Linked DNA regions of Tribolium castaneum. The protein of the gene in region 1 binds, or shares a complex with, the protein of each later gene. Links are inferred from orthologs where the notes say so. Each region holds a gene or a part of one and is shown on either strand. Other genes may lie near its edges.

Region 1 (4,339 bases):
AACATGTTTTTACACTTTTTTTGACTTGTTTTGATTGCATTTCTCAAATTTACTTATTCTCTTTGTAAGTAAATAATAAGTAAACACCTTTTTTTGGAAAAATATTTCGATTTTATTTTTTTTTTTCGGTGAAAAATAACTGCATTTCTGACTCAATTTTACAAACTTTGGTCTTACAATAATCCGCTTACTACATATTTTTAGAATCTTTTGTTGGAGTTTTTAGAATTTTCCGGTGAAAATTCAACCTTTTTTTCTTGAAATCAATTGAAATGTTTCGGTTCAAAACTGTTCTAAATGAGACAAAAAAAAACAACTTACCGTACTAGAACTTGGCCTAAGTGTGATATTTTTCAGCTGATTTTTACCATCATTTTGTGGCTTCTCCAAACTCAAAGACCTGTTGTTACTCGTATTTTCCTCGGTAATAATTTTAGAACTCGAATTCTTTGAACTTGTTTCCAAATTATTGGTGTTTTCTTCAGTTGTGATAATTTTACTCGTTTCCAAATGATCCGAAACCGATTCTGAATTTTTACCTCCAACCAAGAGCGATTTAAACGACTGTTTTTCTTGCGAAAAATTCGAATCCGATAAATAGTTTTTTTCACTAGCTGATTTAATCGTAACCGTGTTCATTTTCCCATTGGCAAGACTCAAATTACGAACCGAAAGCGAAACATTTGGTTGTTTCATCGTCAAAGATTCGGGAACCGAATCCGAATCAGAGAAATTTTTCGATACTTTTTTTTCAGTTAGGAGCGATTTAAATGAAACACTTTCTTTGTGAAAATCCGAACTGTAACTATCGTCACTTTTCTGCAACTTGTAGTTTTTCAATTTATCGAAATCGAGCTTTAGACTTTCACTCGAAATGTCGGGAATATTTTTCGAAGTATCCGACTCACTACCACTATCACAATTATTGAACAAATTTTTCGACACTTCTCTCAATTCTAAATTTTCCACAGGCTTCAAGTCGAGACATTTGTGCGAAACAAACGATCTCAACTCACTTTTGGCACTTTTAATCAACAGTTCTTTAATTTCTTCCCTCGATTTTGTTTCCAGGGGCGGAGTCCCGGAATTCTGCACCCCAATGTCGATAAAATTCCGGGGCGAATTCACAGCAAACTGCAATTTTCTCTTAACTGTGTTTATAAAATTGTACGGATACGCCGCACAAGGGGGCTCCAGCCAGGGCGCCCCCTTGTCGCACGTTTGCGTCTCTTTCGCCTCAGACGACGTTTTCGCCAATTTCTGGGGCTCCCGGGCCTTGGCCCTCGAAATTCTCTCGCTTTTTTGCGTCTTTTCGGAGCCCTCAGAAACTTTTTGTGCGGGCGACTTCGAGCGGTCGATTTTCGGGGGGCCCCCCTTGTCCTGTGACTTCGGGCGGTTGGTTCGGACAAGGGGGCCCCCTTTCTCCCGCGCCTTCGAGCGGTCGATCCGGACAGGGGGCTCGCCCTTGTCCCGCGATTTCGAGCGTTCGCGCTTCAACTGCACGTTTTTTGTCACCAGCTCGAGTGTTTTCTGGTGTAATTCTTTCAGTTTTTGCTTTTTCAGATCGAGTTTATTGTCAGTGGTGTTGATTTGGGCCCGCAATTGTTCGGCGCGTTTTTCCCGCTGTTTTTTGATGTAGTTACGCGCCTCGGTGACGTCATAACTGCGGGGCTTTTTCTCGGGATCGGGGGGCGCCTTTTTTTTAACGGTTTGGGTATCAGGGGCTGGCTTGTGGGTGGGGGGCTCAGGGGGCTGGGTCCCAAGACTTATGAGCTTCTCTAGCTCGGTTTTGAGCTGTTCGATCTCTTTTTTTGTGTTTTTTACACGAGTGCTGACATTTTCCACTTGGCTTATGGACATTTCTGAACCCCCTTTTTTTAGCGAATTACGACTGGAAATTGATTAGACTGACGTACAATTCACGAATTGACCCACATTTGTGTTAATTTAGGTGAGAAAATGCAAAATTAACTCACCTTTTTCACATATTTTCAAAACGTCAACCGTTTATAACATAACCTCAATAACCAAGGCCAACAAGGGTGAATAGTTCAAGGCCCCCCACCAAAACTGCAAAAAACAGCCCCTAAAATAAACCACCCCATTCGTCACGAGCCCCCCAAGCTTAATTAAACAAAAAACACAAATTTATAATTATTAGGTGACCAATAATAAACAAATTAATGATTTTTTAATCAAAATTCAAACATGGCGGTTGGCATTGCGCATGCGCGTTTTTTGTTTTTGGTGGGAAAAGTAATTTTGTGAATTTTGTGACCAAATGGCCGAAAAACTGGAAGATTTGAATTTGCCGAACATGACGGTGCAAAAGATAATTAAAGACGCATTGCCTGAACACGTCAGTGTTGGTAAAGACGCCCGTTCGGCCCTGTCAAGGGCCGCTTCAATTTTTGTCCTGTACATAACCTCACAAGCCACCAAAGAGGCGCAAAAAGTGAACAGAAAGACTCTTCTGGGTCAAGACATTCTAACAGCGTTAGAAGAGCTCGAGTTTGACGAATTCGTGGAGCCCTTAAGTGTGATGCTGAGAGGTTAGTTTTTTTTTGAGGTTATGTTCACGTTTCAAAAACCGACTTCAGATTTCAAAGAAGCGAAGCAGAAGAAGAAAGTGAAGAAGGGGGCCGACGTTGAAATGGCGGAAGACAACGACGAGGAGGCCGTGGAAGAGGAAGAAACGGGAGAATCGTAATAAAAAATAAATTTTTTGTGATAGTTTTTTATTCATGAGAAAAAGTAACAACTGACTAGATTAAGGCCACAAATCGTGCAGAATTCACACTTTAGCAACACTGAGCAAAAAAAGTGACGGCAGTTGAACGAACTATGAAATTATTCTAATTTTGCGTTCGATTGAAGTCCTGCACATTGGACAGTCGTTCAAGGTCACAGGACACTGGGAACAGCAACAGAAGTGTCCACATGGCACGAAAATCACCTCACACTGCAAAAAAAAAACACCAAAATTCGCCTTAATTTGAGATAAACAACATACAGTTGAGTCCAAACAAATGACGCATTCAGTCCCCAAATTTGCGACATTTTCGAGTGGTGGCGCACTTGCCTCTTCGATTGGCAGCACTGGAGCTGAGGGGGCCGTATCGGTCGGTATTTGCTCCTTTCGGTACATTTGGAATGCGTCTAAAATGTGGACCCGGTCCGATTTATTCACAATTCCCACTTCTTTGAGGTCGCTTTCTGTGATTTTTGCAACGTTGCCTGCAAATTGGTTAAAAATCGGGCCAAAGTAGGCACTGACTTTGAAATTTAGGTTGGCAACACTGACGGGCAAATAATTCGGCGTTGCCAACTTAAGCTCGATTTTAATAAAAGCGAAAATAATTCTTAAGAAGTCTTCATGTATGATTTTAAGCAAAAGTAACAATCACTAGAAAAAAATTTGTTGATAAACACGGAACTGAATGTTCGAAAAAGCTCAAAACATGATTAAAAACTCGAAAAATGGAAAAATCAAGTGGTTTTGGACCCCATTTTGTAATTTCTTGGCCGTACTTAATTAAATACTAATACTTAATTTTTATCTAGGTAATATTTATGTACCTTTTTGAGTGGGTTTCATAAAAATGAGCGAATATATAATAAAATATAAATATAAAAAAGGCAAAAATAACGCAATTTTTTGTGCTTAAATATTGAAAAGAAGCGAAAATAGCTTATTTTTTTATCAAAAGATGTGACTTTTGGCCAAGTTTTAGTAAAATCTCACAAAGCTATATAGTTTTTAGCGCAAAAAAAGTGAATATTTAGTTAAAAAACCGCTTTCAAACGCTGGAAAAACGAAAATAGCTTAATTTTTTTATCAGAAGGTGTGACTTTTGGCCTAGTTTCAGTAAAATCCCAAAGTTTTTTAGTTTGTAACAAAAAAATTACAGAAAATTAAATTAAAAAGCTCAAAATAATGGTAATTTCAAATAATTTTTGGCCAATTGTGGTAATTTTTGAGAAAAAAAGATATAGACATAATCATATTTTTTGACTTTTAAAACTAAAAAAAATAATGTCATTTTACTCGATTTTTCGGTTTGTTTGAGGAAAATCTCGCGAGAAAATTAATTTTATACTAAAAAAAAACTTACATTGACATTGCATCAAACTGGCCAAAAACGGCAAACAATTAATGACTCCATTCAGTAAAAGTGCTTGTGCCAGGAGCGGATCCATATTTTTTTGAGCCTCTGACAAACCTTCCGGAAGCCTGAAAAAAATTGGTAAAAAAAAACGACTAAATATTTTTTTACTTAGTTACTTTTCCAGCAAACTTTGGTATTGTTTGAGCCAAAAATCGTCCGAGTTGTTAAAT
Region 2 (3,169 bases), on another chromosome or scaffold:
TTAATTAATAACTATTTACAATAAGAATGGTCGATTTGGTCGTTTGGTTCGACTTTAATCTCCCCCAGCTCAAACACCGAGTGCTCGTCCAAGTCCAGCGGCTCCACCTTGATGCACTCCTCGAAAATATTCTCCGGTAGTTCCCCCGCGTTTTGTATATCGTCCGGATCAACGCCTACGTACTCGGGTCCGGTCAACTTGAGGGGGTCCTCCCTCGTGCAGTCCCCCACACTCACACTGCCCCCAAAAACACTCACGTCGACCTCCTCGATCTGGAGGTCCAAATTGCGGCTGGGGACGTGGTCCGGGTTCAGCGGATCGTCCACCGGGAAGCCCAGTATGAAGTGGTCCGAGCACACCGTCACCTGGTTGTCGCTGCAAGCCCTGGTGAACCTCTTCCAAGCGTGGAAACGTGTCCAGTTCGTCTCGTTGCGCTCCAGCGTGAAGAAGTGCTTGTTTTTGTGGACGTTGTCCTGGTTGTGGCACGAGCGCACGTCGCACTCGCGGACGGTGATGGGGGCTTGGGGCAGGTTCAAGGTGGGGATCGCCCTCGCATTGAGGGTGTCTGGGACTGTGGTCTCTCCGTAGTAGTCGGTCTTCTGGAAATGCATGGAACAGACGCGCTCGCAACGCGCTGGGGTTCTCATGAGGAGGATTTCCTCCCATAGCTTGCGGATGCACATCAGTTTTTTGGGACCACCGGCGTCGAGGGTGCTTACGGAGAGGTAAGTCGTGTCTTTGGGGGGAAATGGGTGGAAAGATAGTAAGGGGTGGGTTCGGCTGTTGGTATGGCAGTTTGAAACCGAGCAAAAGTAATTATCTTTCATTTTTTCATAGATTTCAACAGGTTTTTGCCAAAAATGCGAAAGAGAGGTTAAGTGCACTGTTGACAACTGTCACAATAAAATCATAAATTAATAATAATTTCAACCAATTTAGGCCGAGGATTAATAATAATTAATTTAATCATGGTCGTAATATATTAATTACGTGCATCTGTGGTGGTTTTTGCACAATTTTTTCGTAAAATATTAGGGTACGTTCCATAAAATTGTGCTAGTGTCACTTGGAATAACGGATCCTTGTATCTCCTCTTATCTGTATCACTGAATTAATAATCTTTCAGTATTTTGTAATTATGTAATTATGTATATTTCATAATCATAAACGAATTTTTTGCTGAACAGCTCAATTAGGTCATTCAATTTTTTTTACAAAAAAAATTGTTTAAGTGTTTATTATCAGTTAGTTTATTCGTTAATTGCAAAATTTTCAAGTTTTTATATCGTGATAAGTAACGTCTAATAAGAATTTTTTTATTATTTTAATTTTTAAAGACTTGAATTCTATTTCAAATTTTTTAGAAAAATTTTAAATTAAGTATCATGTGGTGATAAATTTATTGCCAAAAACGCACCAATTAAACCCCGATAAAGTCATGTTTTTTATTAAAAAGGTGTTGAAGCCTTATGTTGACACGTGGATATATTGTTTCCTTTAATAAAGTATTCAAAAATTGTTACTTTCCATGTTGCGTTTTTGACAGATAACAAATCAGTCTTTCAACAACACATAAATAACAATCAAGTCACCACATATCTGTCGTTTGTCAATTACGGCAGTTGTTTTCCCAGCCGCCTCCCCCAACCGACCAAAATTTCCACATATAGCCCGACCTCGCGTACTTAAAAATAAATCACAAAAAAGCCGAATAATTTACACCGAGTAAATAAATAAATAGACAATGACGTCACTTGTCAACATTTTGGTAGCCTCTGTTCCACCCCCCACCAGTGCGTGTTTTGTCCAGTGACGTCTTGTGCAGTTTTCTCGAATCGCGTCGATTAGCTTCACGCTTTGTTACCCCATCGTCGAATACGAATTTTTGCAACAAAACCAATCGATACACCGTGCAAACGACTCATTTTCCCAATCGAAATCGCGAAAAAACCGCGAGTAAATTCCGGTCTAGTGTGCAGTGCTGCTGTCATTTTCCTTCCCGATCCAGAGTGCTGTGAAAAAATTTCGAGAGGGTTGCGATGGTTGCCGTTTTTTAGCATCGTTTTCGGGGAAAACGTCGATTTTTTGGTGAGTTTTCCACTGTTTGTTTTTGCGCAAAGTGGGCCAGTGGGCGGGGTGATATTTTGGGAGCAAGTCGCGACGAAAATACTCATTTATTCGTGAATTCGGTATTTTGGGACGAGGCAGTGGCGTACGCGGATTTTTGGCAAAGGGGGCAATGTCACGTGACTGCGTTAATAGACAGATGACGGCCATTGTGTGACGTCATTTCAGTGTCATGTCGTCCAAGCCATGGGGGGCCTTGCCCATCGTCCGGATAAACACCATAATGAAGAGTTCTTCAGAAGCGGAAAATATCAGTCGGGAGTCGTCGTTAATGATGACGAAAGCCGCCGAACTCTTCATTAAAATGTTGGCCCAGGAGGGCTATAAGTTATCCGCCACGGGTAAAAAACTTGATTACAAACACTTGTCAGAAGTGGTCAATCGGGATGAGAAATACGAGTTCTTGCAAGATATCATGCCGAAGAAAATCACGTATGCTGAGTACAAGAAAATGCAAGAGGGCCAACTGAACGGCGCCGAAAATCACCAAGAGATTTCAAGCGATGAGGAATCCAGCAGCAACTCGAATAGTGAATAAATTTTTGATTTTTCAATTTTTGTTTGATTTTTTTTCCAAGTTCAAGATTAACTGGCACGTGGCTGCTTGCGTGTAACGACTCTCCTCCTCCCCTATTCTTGCAAATACAGGGGTGGAATTTCCCCGGACGGTTATCGATTCGGACTTTCAAGGGCAGCGCTGCGGAAGTTACACCTGCTAGCCCTTTATTTATTTATTGTGGTGGCACCACTGACACAAAAAACCCTAAAGTCTAGCCCACTATGACCTTAAAATGCCTACAAGAAATAAACCCATACAGAATAATGCCCACAAAGAATAAACCCCACGTCGAAAAAATTCACATGAAAAAACCTAGGTACACGGAAAAAAGCTCACAAGTTAAGAAATGTATTGTGAAAAAAACCCACATGAAAAGAAAACCACACTGAAAAAAGCCCAGACGGATAAAAACTCACATGGAAAAAAGCTCACACAGAAAATACTCACATACCTCAAGAAAGAAAGAAGTTCACTACTACTTCA

The links. Proteins that work in one complex are often made in the same cells at the same time.
Region 2: the proteins of DNA polymerase epsilon subunit 3 (region 1) and Chrac-16 are in contact, whole or in part, in a crystal structure (PDB 2BYM), measured with the Drosophila melanogaster proteins. The link is inferred for Tribolium castaneum from reciprocal best matches to the Drosophila melanogaster genes Chrac-14 and Chrac-16. Residues at the interface, in NP_476646.2 of Drosophila melanogaster: Ile15, Leu18, Ile19, Glu21, Ala22, Leu23, Pro24, Glu25, Ser26, Ala27, Ser28, Val29, Ser30, Glu32, Ala33, Ala36, Ile37, Arg39, Ala40, Ala41, Val43, Phe44, Ala45, Phe47, Val48, Thr49, Lys62, Thr63, Ile64, Thr65; in NP_001285148.1 of Drosophila melanogaster: Thr35, Gly36, Leu37, Thr39, Asn40, Glu41, Val42, Phe44, Leu45, Met46, Lys48, Cys49, Thr50, Glu51, Leu52, Phe53, Val54, Arg55, His56, Leu57, Ala58, Gly59, Tyr62, Arg69, Pro70, Gly71, Glu72, Ala73, Leu74, Lys75.

The regions. Positions count from the first base shown.
Region 1 is NC_087394.1:1,507,868-1,512,206, reverse strand, and holds DNA polymerase epsilon subunit 3, read left to right. Parts: upstream 1-2,209; 5' UTR 2,210-2,281; coding exon 2,282-2,552; intron 2,553-2,600; coding exon 2,601-2,710; 3' UTR 2,711-2,726; downstream 2,727-4,339. Other genes in the region: centrosome-associated protein 350-like, read right to left, coding at 322-1,860; E3 ubiquitin-protein ligase LRSAM1, read right to left, coding at 2,843-2,962, 3,014-3,237, 4,116-4,234, 4,286-4,339. UniProt on the Drosophila melanogaster protein: Accessory component of the DNA polymerase epsilon complex. Participates in DNA repair and in chromosomal DNA replication. Histone-like protein which promotes nucleosome sliding of ATP-dependent nucleosome remodeling complexes.
Region 2 is NC_087399.1:7,015,711-7,018,879, forward strand, and holds Chrac-16 (chromatin accessibility complex 16kD protein), read left to right. Parts: upstream 1-2,299; coding exon 2,300-2,665; downstream 2,666-3,169. Other genes in the region: uncharacterized protein LOC107398497, read right to left, coding at 12-827. UniProt on the Drosophila melanogaster protein: Histone-like protein which promotes nucleosome sliding of ATP-dependent nucleosome remodeling complexes. Part of the chromatin-accessibility complex (CHRAC) which uses energy/ATP to increase the general accessibility of DNA in chromatin.